Drosophila melanogaster: one gene and its partners. The protein of the gene in region 2 interacts with the protein of the main gene of each other region in a pairwise test. Each region holds a gene or a part of one and is shown on either strand. Other genes may lie near its edges. The genes, in order: Ugt35E1, CG13310 and CG6340.

Evidence for each region.
Region 1: the proteins of CG13310 (region 2) and Ugt35E1 interact in a two-hybrid assay, tested with the Drosophila melanogaster proteins (one large-scale study listed by BioGRID).
Region 3: the proteins of CG13310 (region 2) and CG6340 interact in a two-hybrid assay, tested with the Drosophila melanogaster proteins (one large-scale study listed by BioGRID).

What each region holds. Positions count from the first base shown.
Region 1 is NT_033777.3:11,163,802-11,167,765, forward strand, and holds Ugt35E1 (UDP-glycosyltransferase family 35 member E1), read right to left. Parts: upstream 2,274-3,964; coding exon 2,033-2,273; intron 1,965-2,032; coding exon 622-1,964; downstream 1-621. Other genes in the region: Ugt35E2 (UDP-glycosyltransferase family 35 member E2), read right to left, coding at 2,513-3,843, 3,910-3,964.
Region 2 is NT_037436.4:8,798,130-8,802,431, forward strand, and holds CG13310 (uncharacterized protein), read right to left. Parts: upstream 2,404-4,302; 5' UTR 2,344-2,403; coding exon 2,196-2,343; intron 2,113-2,195; coding exon 1,960-2,112; intron 1,906-1,959; coding exon 1,642-1,905; intron 1,439-1,641; coding exon 917-1,438; intron 834-916; coding exon 715-833; 3' UTR 601-714; downstream 1-600. Other genes in the region: Fhos (formin homology 2 domain containing), read left to right, coding at 1-65; CG13311 (uncharacterized protein), read right to left, coding at 3,481-3,912, 3,970-3,999.
Region 3 is NC_004354.4:15,480,710-15,487,215, reverse strand, and holds CG6340 (uncharacterized protein), read right to left. Parts: upstream 4,843-6,506; 5' UTR 4,742-4,842; coding exon 4,679-4,741; intron 4,035-4,678; coding exon of another isoform or gene 4,018-4,034; coding exon 3,796-4,017; coding exon of another isoform or gene 3,541-3,795; exon of another isoform or gene 2,836-3,540; intron 2,687-2,835; coding exon of another isoform or gene 2,648-2,686; exon of another isoform or gene 2,324-2,647; intron 2,095-2,323; coding exon 1,948-2,094; intron 1,885-1,947; coding exon 775-1,884; 3' UTR 604-774; downstream 1-603. Other genes in the region: CG6324 (uncharacterized protein), read right to left, coding at 6,199-6,266, 6,495-6,506.

The DNA of each region.
Region 1 (3,964 bases), on a different chromosome or scaffold from region 2:
AGCCACACCACATTTATATAGCTCATGAATTTTTGATTACGCATTTGGCAATGCGGCCAAATACGGTCAAAAGCACCAGCCGTACCCAAATGAACCAAACCAATCCAACGGAAGTGACTCCGTGCAATTTAATATTACGCATACGCAGCGTATGCAACTGATTGGCAGCGGTTAATAAATGCGCTCAAACCGTCGTTCACGCCCAGCCCACACACATGCAAATATTTGAATGCGTATTCCATAATTCACTGGACGCCAATCGAGCAGCTTTGCGTGTGACCAGAAAAGCATCGTTATAATATAAATACGCGCATCATACATAATATCCCATCATTTTGGTGCTCTATCTGTGGTGAAAACAAACTGGGAATCGCGGTGTTTCCTCGAGCCTCGTTCGGTCATACGATGGCCATTATCGCGGGGGTTAGTAGCTATAAACTATGGTAACGATATTATAGAAGAGGTAAGCAGAATTCAAACTCCTTTTAGCCATTGGGAAAATGCCACCTTAGCAATAAAAGCAAATTATCTATCTATTTGTCTGAAATTATTTATTTATTGTGCAAATATTTATTGTAAGAAATTATTTATTTATTGTGCAAATATTTATTGTAAGTATTTCTAACGAACTTTCTGCTTTCGTTGTTTTTTAACAACTAAACGCGTTGAGATATTCTTAGAAATCTTACAAACACTAAAAACAATAATAAGAAGAATGGCAATGATAACAAGCAAAATAACAAGAAGAACAGTGCCCAAGACATCCAGACTGTGGTGGGTGAAGAAGCTCAATTTTCTCCCGGCCACCCGCATATGAGGTGCTCCCTTGTGACGCAGGACGTAGTGAGTCCACCAGACAGCTGTCTCCAAAGGCTTCATTGGTTGATCTCGATAGCGAGCACCTGCTATCCTTGCCGTGACCTCAAATCTCTTCTCCGTCAGCAACTGGAGTATTGTGGCCTTCAACTCATCACTTGTCATATCATGATAGTTCAAAGACAGGCAAAAGCCATGTTTTTTGATGTGATCCACATTGGTAAATTGGTCGTAGAAGAAGGGCAATCCCAGCATGGGCTTACCATAGTGAATGCTCTCAATGGTGCTCTGCATACCTCCGTGGGTTATAAAGAGTTTCACTTTTGGGTGGGCCAGTAGGTCCTGTTGCGGTAACCATTTGCGTACTAGAACATTCGACGGTATATCCTGCAGCTCTTCATCCTCGAATTTCCACAAGACGCGTTGTGGCAGGCTGCCAAAGGCTTCTATCAATATTCTCTTGCGGTCATCTACCATATTTTTCGTCCTTACATTGGTGCCCAGAGAAAAGTAAATTACACCATGCTCACCAGAACCTTGGATAAAGTCCTCCAGATCCTGGGCTAAAGCTTTAGGTTGTTCATCAATATGCATACCACCAACTTCGATTACATTCGGAACATACGGACGTGGTGGACCCAATGTGAAATGTTGATTTACCAAAACTAAAGCAATGTCTTGGCTAATTTCAGACAGTGGCTTTGTTTCAGCTATTTTTGGGAAATACTTTTTGTAAAGTGCCTCATGCTTTTGCTCATAACGCCAGTGCCAGTTGAACCAAGAAATGGCGACTTCCACAACGTGTGCCACGCGACCCCCAAAAGTATCCAGGTTGTAAAGGTAAGATGAGGGCGACTGAAGATAGGACATCGGCGATGGATTACCAACCATTTCGTCTATTTTCCAATCGATTCCACAGGGAGCTAATCCGATAATTGGAGCCTCAAAATAGGCGGCAAGGCTATAAAAAGCATCGTACTTCCATATGTCCACAATAATCAGATCAAACTGAGCCTTTCCCGGCCTGAGTATCTCTCGTCGCACTCCGTCGTTATTAAATACATCTTTAGTAATATTATACACAAATTCATTGGTTGCGTCGAAGAACTCCCACGTGTTTTTCGGGGTTGTCATTTGTTTCAATAGTTCTAATAAGAATATAAACGTATAGATGCAAAAATCTGATTGTATATAAAATATATATTGCCTTACTTACCGTCAAAACTATTTAACACTTCCGGAACATAAATGTCGTATATATTTTTCACTGGTTCTTCAGATGGAAATGGACTTACTGAAGTTATTTCGTGACCCAAAGAGGCCAAGTTTTTGAGATATGGAAGGGCATGATAATAGTGCGAATGGGAGGGAACCGGAAACAAAGCCAAAATTCGAGCTCCATACAAGAAACCAGGAAATAGTAAAATTATAAGGTAAAACAAGCCCGATGCCAACATTTTTAGAACGCAACTTTGCTTTTATCAAGATTTCAACGAAGACTAAGTGAATTTCAGCCACAAACCATTTTAAAATAAATATTGATAAGATTAACCCGATAAGAGTGTTAGGAAGTATAATATATTTTAGCATTAACTAACAACATGCTTACATCTTCCTAATCTATATGTCATAAATCATACATCTACCTTTCTACGAATGTACACAGATATGTATTCTCTATTGATATATTTGTAAGTTAATTTATTTTTTGCTTGGGTGATATATTACCCTTTTTACTCTTTAAGATAGCCCTTAACAGTTTAATTGCACAAAGGACAACAATACTAAGGATCGCCCAAACGGCCAGGAGAAAAGTTCCCAAAACATCCAAGCTGTGGTAAGTTATAAAATCCAGATTTCTGCCCGCTACCCGCATATGAGGTGCTCCCTTGTGACGCAGGACGTAGTGAGTCCACCAGATCGCCGTATCCAAAGGATTCATTGGCTGATCCCGATACCTGTCCGCTGTTCTTTTTGCCTTGACACCAAAACTCTTCTCTGTCAGCAACTGATGAATGGTGTCCTTAAATTCATCGCTTGTCATATCCCTATAGTTTAAAACTAAACCTATGCCCTGCGCTTTGATGTGTTCCATATTTCTGAACTGATCGTAGAAGAACGGCAATCCCAGCATCGGTACACCACGATGGATACATTCGACTGTGCTCTGTAAGCCTCCATGAGTAATAAACAGCTTTACGTTTGGATGAGCAAGGATGTCCTGCTGCGGAAACCACGGGCTAATTAGAACATTTGAGGGTACATCTGACAACTCATCAGCATCGAATTTCCACAAGATGCGCTGTGGCAGGCTGGCAAATGTGTCAATCAATATTTTCCTGCGATCCTTAGACAAATTTCTACTTCTTACATTGGTGCCGAGCGAAAAGTAAATTACTCCATGTTCACCAGCCCCTTGGATAAAGTCCTCCAGGTCCTGGGGTAAAGCTTTAGGTTGTTGATCGACATGCATACCACCGACTTCAATAATATTGGGAACATACGGACGTGGTGGTGCCATCGTAAAGTGTTGGTTAACCAAAATCAAGGCGAAATTTCTGGTGATCTCGGACAGCGAACGTTTATCGGCAATTTTTGGGAAGTACTTTCTGTAGACCGCCTCATGCCTTTCCTCGTGCCGCCAATGCCAGTTAATCCAAGCCATGGACTGATCCACAAAGTGACCCAGACGTCCTCCATAGGTGTCGAGATCAAACCAGTTGAAAGACGGAGACTGCAGGTATGCTAAAGGTGATACATTGCCCACTAGTTCATCAATCTTCCAGTCGGTTCCATAAGATGCAATTCCAATGATGGGGGCATCAAAATAGGCCGCCAAGCCGTATAGAGCATCAAGCCGCCAAAGATCGACAATGATCAGATCAAACTGAAGACTTTCTGGTTGCAGAATCTCTCGACGCACTCCATCATTTTCAAGCACTTTTTCGACAAGACCAAGGGTATACTGGTTGATGTATTCAAATTCATTCCATGTGCCCTTCCGGTTTGTTAGATTTCCAACAATTTCTGAAAGGATGTTTTAAATACATTTTCGCATAGGTATATTTTAAGTAACTCTTAAGTATTACTTACCCTCTATATTGTCAAATAATTCCGGAACTGGAATATCATGTATATTAGCCACAGG
Region 2 (4,302 bases):
CGCTGAAAAACGGTCTGACCGAGGAGGAGAAACAGCACGTGGCTGCCTTGATACAAACCTATTAGGATTAGGACAGACATATATCGTAGATACCCGCATCACATCCGAGATAATACCATCCCCCAGTGACGTCACAAGTCGGGCACTACGCGCACAGACTGAAATTGGCGATCTCAGGCGAGCAAGCGAACCCAGAAATTACCCTTTTATACGACAACGTGCGCATAGTTAGTACTGGTTTTTATTATTTTCTTTTTTGTCACGGCAAAAAAAATGAGTACCAACAACGGCAACAACGCTGCAACGAAAATGTCCTTAAACAAAAGCGTTTATCATCGTGTTTTTCTGTTATATAATTTTTGTTTTGCTTCTGCTAAGTATTATTAATTAAACGTAATTCAATAAACCTGTATTAGTAGTTGAAAACGATTTTAATGTTAGAATTTGGATCACATGAAATTTCGATATCCTTTACGACAACACTAAATTTGTACCAAAACCCGACACGATTTTCTAAATTAACTTAAATTTTAATGTTACGTCTAACTTAATTACGAAAATCAATAAATAAAACATATTTATTACATACGAAAGATGTGTGCGTTTTTCCTGCGACTTTTGCAGCGCCAATCATAATTTCCTTGCGATTTTAGTCGCGTGGAATTCGTCATGTGGATTTTGTGTTTAGAGTATTGCATACTTGTGGGCTGGTGTCTAAAAGCCATTTGTGCATGGTTGCTGAACATAATCAAGGCAAAATCCTCGGTTGTCTATATCATTCGGCGCTTCTACTCCGTCCGTGTGGAAATAAAGCCGGAAAGGACGAACACTTGCTGTGGGGATATATTGAAGAAAATATATTATTAATAATCTTTTAATGATAGGATTCGATTTGATGACCTAAGCTTGTACGTACATTGCACTGTTTTGGCGAGCATTCCGGCCTCCGCACTAAAGGTGCCTCCACAGACGCGATCCTCGCAACCAGGCAGAGGAGGAATCCTGTCCGCCGATCGAATGCAACCAATCAGTAGCCAATCGCTTGTGCAACCGTTCAAGTTTGGTGGCATGCCACCACCACCACCCACCATCGTGGCCACCGGATTGTTGGAGTTCCCAGTGAGTGTGAACGATCTGGATCTGTTGTTCTCCAGATCCGGACATGCGTTGTACTGAATGCCGCAAAAGTTGCGCTCGTTCCGTATGCAGATGCTGTAGTCCTGATTGGACAGTTGTCTTCCACCCACCGTGTTGTAATTAAAGCTGCGCACACGACCACTAATTGCCGTATAGTACTGCAGACAGCCTTGGTCCGCTCGACTGATGCTACCACAGTGGATTTGGGTGACGCGGATTCGCCACAGACGCGGAAAACTTCCGCTGGTGATCACCGACAAAACAATCGGATTGCTCTGGCCAAGACCCGCGTCAATGTACACTGCGAAAACAAAAGGTTGGCATTGAGAAGACGGTTTTGTTTACAGGGCTAATCTAAAAGTGTGCGCTTTAGATTAAATATTTACACACTCGTTTTGATGGCTTATCATCTAATTCAGCATACTTAATCGGTGGTTAGTCTCTTAGAAATCCTTTAAAATTTTCTAGAATTTATGTTTTTGTAAAAGCATGCCAAACACTCACTGTGATCTCCCGTTGAACTGCCACAAATGGTGGGCGTGGGACTACCGCCCGATATGAGCAACTGATCCTGATTGCACAGATGATTGGCTGCCTCTGGAGGAGCTATCGAGAACATATCCAAATCCAAGCGCAGCTGACAGATGTCCGGATGCAGTTTTTGAACGGTTACCTGACAACTACCAGTGCCATCGTAGACATCCGGGTGATTGGGATTCACAAAGTAAGTGGAGTTCTCTCGTATAATACCGCCGCACGTCTGTAGAACTGAACGAAGGTATTAAGAATAGGCGATTGCTTTCACATGGGTGGGAAACTCACAGATGCAGCAGACGCCATAGCCACCGCCACAAGGACCGGCCGGGATGCCGTTCCGCAGTACACAATCCTTGCTGGGAATGCAATTTCCCTGTTCGCCGGAGGGCGCTGAACAGCTGCCAGGACCGATGGGCACCAGGGCGAAAATGGGCAAAACTGGTGGATGTTACACAGAATTCAATTCAATTTTTTTCTTTTGTTAACACTAACTGCTGGTCTTAGCCAGCTTTAAGACCCACATTTGGATTCGCGCCAACGTGGTGCAGGAGTTAGCCACTTGCTGCCGAAAAGCATATCCCGCCAACTGTTTGTCGGAATCTGTTTCTGGATTTTACAGTTGGCCAGGACCAAGAGGCAGGAGAGCAGAGTCAGTTGCAGATGCAACATGGTAAATAATCCACTGGGAGATCGGTAGTTGTTGGGCAGATCCGCTCGCGTTGATTTGTGACTTTGTTATGAAAGGCAGCAACCGCGGGGGCGACAATTTATTTCACTCGGCGCGGCAAAAAGTTTAATGACCGCAATTTGTTCAACGCTTTTCGCTTTTTAGTTTTAGTAAGCCCAAACGCAGCTGAGTTTAGCTAAATATTAATTACAATAACAAAACGCAACCGTCACAACAATTAGATGCGCCACAATCAACGAAGTGCCAGGGGGCCTTTTCGGATGTTTTGGCTGCTCTTGGTTGGTTTGAATGGCTTCGATGGGAGGTGGTCCCATCTCTGTGCTCTCGCTTTTCACTGTTTGTTTCCTGTTGCGAATTTGTTTTCCACACCTTTGGGCGCCCATTAAATGTGGAGCAACACCACCCGTAGGCCAAATATCGGAGCATGAAAGTGCCGAACAATTTGTTTACGGCATCACAGTCATCACAAAAAAATGTTTTTGGTACGTAACAGCTTTGCACCATTTTGACGTCATTGCTTCATATGTCTAATTTGATTACGCAGCACTCTCGCTCAATTGGGTCAATGTCAATTAAATTGCTTAATTTAATTAAAACATACTTAAAGTAAATAGAGATACCTCCAAATTTGTTTTCACTTCTTTATGGCGAAAGAACTGACCTTCGCAATAGAATTTGCGATGCTTTTGGCCCTGACAACATGAGATGACCAAAACAATGATAAGCTTTTAGCTTAACAGTGATAAAAAGTGTTTTATTGCTGGAATTCTTAAGAAATTCTTTTTCGTCTGCTGACTTGTCTACTAACAATAAATTATGTTAGTTATATAACAAAAAGGACAGATAGAAAATTAATGGAAGAGCGAAATTAAATGTGGATTGCTTTGTGCATGATTCGTACGTTCACCATTTGGTAAATCTAGGAATTGTAAAACATTTATGCCCTAGATGAGATTCAAATAAAATCTTAATGATCAATGTTATCTACAAAGTTTCACTTTAATAGGGAAACTTCTTTTATCATTGAAACAAACTATTTATATAAGTTACAAAAATCGTGGTTTATTTAATAGTTTAGACATGAGGTAGTGAAAGCATTTTAAATTAATTCAAAAGTTCTATAGCGGACTGTCCCTATCGCATTCGACGGAATCACCCACTTCGCAGAGATCCACGCAGTATTTGCCCGATTTAATCGAGCAGATCTTGTTGTCCTTGCACTTGGTGACCTGGCCAGTTAGGTTGGTGCCATCGCACATCTGGAAGGTGGTGCGACTGGTGCAGACGAACATGCTGTTTCCATCGCAGGTGGGGCAGGATCCATCGGCAGTGCCTGAGCAGGAGCTATCCACTACACTGCTGTCCATGCAGATGATTGCCAGGTCGGTGCAGACCTTGTTATCCGGACACTGAAGGACCTGATTGGGCGCCACATTATCGGAGCAAAAGCTATAGTGCGTTTCATTCAGGCATTTCACATTGTTGGCTTGGCAACTGTTGCACACTCCTTGGACCAGAACTGCCATCGAGCTTACAACCACAATGAGGCACTAAAAATTATAAATTTGTTAAAACTTTTTCTCAAAATAAATTGCACATTGTCTTACTAGGTTTCTTAGGATTTGGGATTGCTGCATTATGCTGACTTTGAATGTGACTAACGGACTAACTGTGATATCCAACAGCTATAGGGCTTTTATAAGAACTGTCTCTAGAAAACAGAAGATAGCTTTAGCGTTTTATGCCGTAGATTAGGTATGCTAAAGATCTTAGAATATATGATACTGTTTGCCCCGTAGCGCTCCCGTGCTACTCGAAGATTGCGCTACTGGGAAGAGCAGTTTTATGGCATTCCACGGCATTGAAAGATAAATGTTATGGCCCCGAGATCATCACAGAGATATGGCCCCAACCCGGGGTTTATAAAGCTGTGCAGTTGC
Region 3 (6,506 bases), on a different chromosome or scaffold from region 2:
GGGCGGATAGGGGGCGTGGCTCTTCTCGACGAGATCACTCCGCTTTTGGCTAGCTGATTGCTAATTTCGGATGAAGTATGCTTAGTTTTTTGGAAACGATAATTTTTTTTGCGTGGCAGTGGCACAAACTCAAGCGGTTCTGTTTGCTTCGTTCCACAATTTAAATCCAATTTGGCTGTTTGTTTTAATAAAGGATGTGTAAGCTTTATATGCTTTTGTTTGTGTTCTAGTAGTATTAATTCTCTTATTTATTATTATTTTTATTATTAGTTTGTGATATGGTATCGATATCCGACGTCCTATCGTCAGCTGATTTTGTTATTGTTATTGTTTTTGGTCAGCTATCGATTGGCGATAGGCAGACCGACCGCCAAGGTGCATGGCAAAAAACTGACATCTACTAAACAGAGTGCCAAAATTTAAAATTGTTTATTGTAAAAAAAAATACCTTTATTTATTATTGAATATTCAAGCATTCTTCGATTAGAGCCGCTGAACTTTGTAGTTAAAGTTGGATACTCTTAGCATACTTAGTAATAGTGTAGACTAAAAGTCTACCTAACGACGCATTTATCCCAAGCAAATCCAAAGAGAGAGCCACGTCACTTCATAAATTCTGTTGCAACGTTTATTTGAAATCAAAAAAACAAAAAATTTTCTCAACACAAACAAAAAGTTGTTGAGGAGAAACATATTGACTGACTAATGAGTTGAGTGAGTGGCATGGTATTTACAGCCTGGCAGGGAGCCGATCCTCCTCCGTTCCGATCCCTTCTAGAAAGTACGTGGCTGGGAGCCGAAACCAAGCCCCACGCCACGCATCGTGTGTGTGGCGGCTCGCGCCATCTCGTACTGCTGCTCCATGTTGGAGAACATGCGCTGGCGCTGCTGCACGTCCGTGGGCACTTTCGTTCCGCCAGCGGCTCCCGATGGCGCAGCACCTCTTACTGCGCGGTTTCCCTCGCCTGCTGCACTTCCATTGGTGGACTCCGCCTGGCCGCCCTTGCCATCGTCATTGCCGGACGTACCAGCGTTCTTGATACCCATGAGCCGCATAAACTTGGAGGCCACCTTGCCGTCGGAGTCCTGGGAGAAGTGCGCGTTGCCCCACTTGTTCGCCGAGTTCTCGCTCTTCTTGGAGCCCCACAGTAGCTTGCGCTTCTGCTGCTGCTCCGCATAGCGATTGGCATTGATGATGCTCGGATTGTAGTAACTGGGCAGCTGGATGGGTTCTGCGACTGGTGCTGCTGCCGCTGGTGTGCTCAGCTCCAAGGACATCAGCGAGGGTATCTTGGGCGCATAGTTGGGCGTGGGCAGGAGACCGCCGCCACCGCCGCCGGATGAACCGGCTGCCATGGCTGCGGCTGTTGCATTGGCAGCTACCAGAGCGGCCGCTGCAACCCTCGCCGCTGCTGTTGCATTAGTTGCCGTTGATCCTGCTCCGCCGCCTGATTTAGCGAGCAGCATATGAGATCCGGCCACAGCTCCACCGCGAAGTGTTGTGGCTTGTTCTTCCTTCGGAGATCTGGAGCGGCTGCTGGAGTCGCGTTCGCGATATTTGCGTGACTGTTGCGACTGATGGCGGCGACGAGAGGGCGGCGTGCCCGTTGGTGTGCGGGAACCGGATCGAGAGTCCCGGCGACGACGACTGCGTTCATCATGGGATCGACGGACTGATGCTGCACTGACCGCTGCAGCGGCGGCTGACGATGAGTTGTTGTGATGATGATGATGGCGTTCCTTGCCACTGTGGTGGCGACTGCTCTTCTCCGAACGCCTACGGTCCCGATCCTTGTCGCGATCTCGCTCCCTCTCCCGGTCACGATCCCGCTCCCGCTCTCTGTGGCTGTCGCCGTCTTTGGTACGATGGTGGCGATGGTCGCCCTGTAAATAGCACAGACATTAGTTTGGCTGAGTTATGCTGAGTTGATTAGGACTCTGTCTCACCTTGCTGTGATTCTTGTCGCGTCCTTTGTCGCGACTGCGTTCTGAATCGCTGCGCTTCTTGTCCTTGTCCCTGTCACGTTCGCGGTCGCGGTCCCGTTCCCTGTCCTTGTCCCGCTCCTGGCGGTGGCGACTGCTGGGCTTCGGCTCCTGGAACGGGATGAAGCAACACATTGAGGAGAATTACATTAGAGCGTATGGATCTACGAATCTGCGCCGGCGACTAAGGATCTAGGTCTAGTTGCTAGATGCTTAGGATGCTGGAGGGGAAATAGAAAGAGGATTCGGGCTGTGGGCCACCAGCTGGGGTCCTTTCCGGGGTGTCCTAGATTGCTTAGAGAGTTGTTAGGTTCTATTTGATCGCTTTTTGTATACTCACTTTCGTGCGCCTTGATCTCTCTTTCGCATTATCTCTCTCTCTCTCTCTCTCTCTCGCTTTCGCGCCACCAGTGAGTGAGTGAGTGGGTGGATGGGTGGGTGGTTGTGTGTGTGTGTGTGTGTGCGGGCGGGCATGTGTGTGGTGAGTGTGATCGTTCTATTTGCTTTTACCTTTTTCAGTGGCTCACACACACCCACCAACACAGCCACAGAGTCGCACACAGGACTACACACACAGTGGTGGTCATAACAAATTTGATCGATTGTCGCACTATCGAAGAAGCTATTGGTAATCGAGCGATTACTACGATCGGGCTATCGTCAATTATCGTCGGTCAGGTTTGTTTTCGTTTTTTGTTTTTGACTTGTTTGTTTGGAAAATGGTTTTTCGTTTTGGTTCGATTCGGTTTCGTTTACGTAACAACAATAACAATGATAATAAAATGGTAGAGTTTAGTCATTTAAATATTGATTGGCATATAAAGTTTGTAGACTTAACTAAGCTGGCCGAACAACAACAACAACAATGTGTGTGTAAATCGCAAGCGGACCGAACAAACAGAATTTTCTGTCTTTGGATTTAATTTTGAGTTTTTGGCCCATATAAATCTGGCAGTAGCGAAATTTGGATGTAACGGGTTGGAGCGCATGCAGTCGATCGTGGAGATCAATATACATAAATATATGAATATTGAATTTTTCAGTTGGGAACAGCAGATGACTAAATAATAGCACAAGAAAATGCCTGAAGCCCCTAAAGATGCAGAATCTAACAAGATCTGCGATTTATATCTGTAACTAATGGAAGTATTAATCAATGATAACCGAAGTAAAGCTGAACTACAAGACTACAAGAAAAGATTGTGAATCTGTTCTTTTCTTTAATTGCAATATAAACTATAGAACCAGTGGGGAATGGACTGCATGCATTATTGTGTTTTAACATTCCATTAATTTAGTTTTAACAATGAAGTACTGCTGCCAATGACCTTGCCTATGTATAGAATTATTACTTTTGCTGGCGTAAAGGAATGGAGGCACTGAAAACTAGGCTGCATTATTGATTTGATGCAGTGTCCTGTTTTTTTGGCACAAGTACTTTTCATTCATTACGTGGCATTTTCTCTTTTTTATTTGAAGTGAATTGGCCAATGTATACAACTGGGATTAACTTTAACTCAAAAGTTTAAAAGATCTCGGTTTCGATTTGATTGATATCTATACATTAGACGTTTGATTTAAAGCGGACTCTGTGCTATTATTTTGCCTGCCTCTGTAAGTGCTGCTGCTGGCAGCGCAGTCGGCGATGGCGTCGCCCTTTGCGGCAGCGGAAGGAAACGGCACATGAAAGATCCGCTTGCGCTCCAACCCAGATACACACACACACACATACGTATGGAGTACAATAGCATATGGTATTTGGTATATATTATGGGAAGTAAATATCGATTTGGTGCAACGGCAAGTCTTTACCTCATCAATGCGTCCTCTGCTGCTGCTCCTATGACTCTGCTGCTGCGACATCGGCTTTGTCTTCTCTCTCTCCCGCTCGCGCTCTCTTTCTCGTTCCTTGCCGCGCGGACTGTTGCCGCTGCCATAGTTATTGTTGTTCTTCTGCTTTAATAAGCTATCAGTTGTTGTTTTCGGGGATTTAGCATGCGGCAAATGCCGCAGTTGTTGTTGTTGTTGTGGTGCCTAGGGGAATTTTGCAACTTTTAAGAAACAGCAAATTCGCATTATTTTACTAAAGCACTAGGATACTTGAACTATATTATTGGAGTGGTTAGTGGTTTTGATTTTTGCTCGTTTTTTTTATGTTTTTTTTAATTGATGGGATCAGTTATCTTTATTTCGCGTTTCCGCGCATTCGTACACACACACAAGCACACACACACACACACGGTTCTCAAATACGGCAATCTCTTTCCTTGCCGCGCGGACTGTTGCCGCTAACATAGTTATTGTTGTTCTGCTCTAGTAAGTTAGCAGTTGTTGTTGTTCTCGAGGATTTAGCATGCGGCAAATGCTGCAGTTGTTGTGGTGCCAAGGGAATTTTGCAACTTTTAAGAAACAGCAAATTGGCATTATTTTACCAAAGCATACTTGAAATGTATTATTGGAGTGGTTAGTGGTTTTGAATTTTCCTCGTTTTTTTATGTTTTTTGAATTGATGGGATCAGTTCTTTATTTTGCGTTTCCGCGCATTCGCACACACACAACACAAACACGACACACACGCGGTTCCCATATACGCAAGGAAGAAAAAAGTGATGAAGATGTATGTGTACACAAAATGCGCTCTGATGATTCTTTCTTTTTTCAGCTGCTTCCGGCCTTGCGGTGTAGGCATATTTACCCGTATCTGAAAGCCAGCATCCTCCTGGTCGTCCTCACTACTATAATTCACTAGGGCCTCCATTGTTTGGGGCCAAAAATTGTTTTAGGCCAAAAATGTGGCTGAAGCACGCAGGTGCGTCCAAAAAAAAAACGAATCAATTGCTAAAAAAGAAAGTAGTGGTGGAACTATTGATAGAGATGAAAAGTGTGGCCAGCGCGCTTCGAAGTATCGATAGAATTTCCTAACTATCCGTTGATAAATAACGGTATATTTGAAAAGCCGATGTTTTGAAAAACGAAACGAAAATAGGTAAAACACATTTCAAATACACTAAAGCGCGTGTTTTTAAACTAGCTTTTTAAGCTTAATTACTCATATAGTAAAGGCATATATAGAAAGGCATATTAATTCGGACCATTCGTACCCGCCTTAAAGGAGATCGAAGAATGAGGTACCTCGGTTGGCTTCAATTAAGCCTCATTGATGGGCGGATACTGTACACGGCATGGAGTTGCTAAACGGTACTGTAAGGAGTAATCCTTTTCGATTCCGTTATCCTGACTATCTGGGCAGCAATTAGTCTGTCAAACACCTTTGAGATCGAAAGGAGAAAGCTGATCGGCCTGTTGGAAGCGGGCTCCCTTTTGTTTCGGTTTGCCAGGTTTATGGATCATGGAACTCATCCAGAGCTTCCACTGAGAAGGAAAGTATTGCTGCAGCCTCGCAATAGCGTTGAATACCAACGTTATTAAGAAGATCAGCTTATGCTTCCCTTTTTTTAGATTCGTACAATTGTTCACATTCAAAAAGGTTGAAAGTTGTTTTATTTTTTTAGTAAAGATTTTATTATCATCAGTTGTTTGCATAAAAAATGTAAATATAATTGTGTTTTGCTTTAGTCCCTAAAATTGTATGGGAATGGATTAATTACTAGCTATCACAAAATTGTAATCACGAAATTGATCACGAAACTGATTACTTTATGGCACACAAATTCGATATTTACACGAGTCAAGCATTTTGATGCATGTTCGGTGGTTTTATCAGGTGTGTTTATGAAATGGTTAATGTAATTCTGTTTTCTGTTAACAATAGATTCGCATACGTGCGTAAATGCAATTTCGTTTTCTGTTACCAATAGATTCTCGTATTTGTGTTACCAATTTTTTTTTTCTGTTACCAATAGATTTGTGTGTAAATGAAATTGTTTTTTCTGTTAGCAAACAATTCTCGTATCTGTGCAAATGCAATTATTTTTTCTGTCAACAATATGTAGATACATATGTGTGTAAATGCAATTCTGTCTTCTGTTAATAGATATGTCTCCAAAGGTATACAAAAAAAAAAAGGCTCTTATATTTAGGCCACAAATAGATGTTTTCAAAATTTCTGCTTCAAGTTGTCCTGTTCCTCTGAGATTTTTCAAATTTCCAAATTCCTGTACTTGTTCGATGTCCCGGGTAGCGGTGGGAAGTTTTTTTTTATTCAAGGCGAGATCTTCCAGTTTTTTGAGATCATCTTTCTTTCCATCCGATCCTCTAGCAAAAACGCCCATCAGAGTCACTATCTTGGCGCTCCGACTCCATTTTGTTATTAAAGCGACGCTCTGTGTTGCGAATAAAGTGAATATAAGTGTACATAAGTCTTAAATGTCTCAAATGCTAAATACTACTGATCTAAGCGTTTACAAAATTCAAAAAAAGCTTTCTAGAATGCATGAATCTGTGGGAAATGCAAATAATGTTTTGGCATTGATACTACAAGCTGTCGATACTAAAAGTGCAATAACCCAACCTAATTAAATTTAGAAATTTATAAAAATGGCGGTCCTTACTTGCAACCTTTA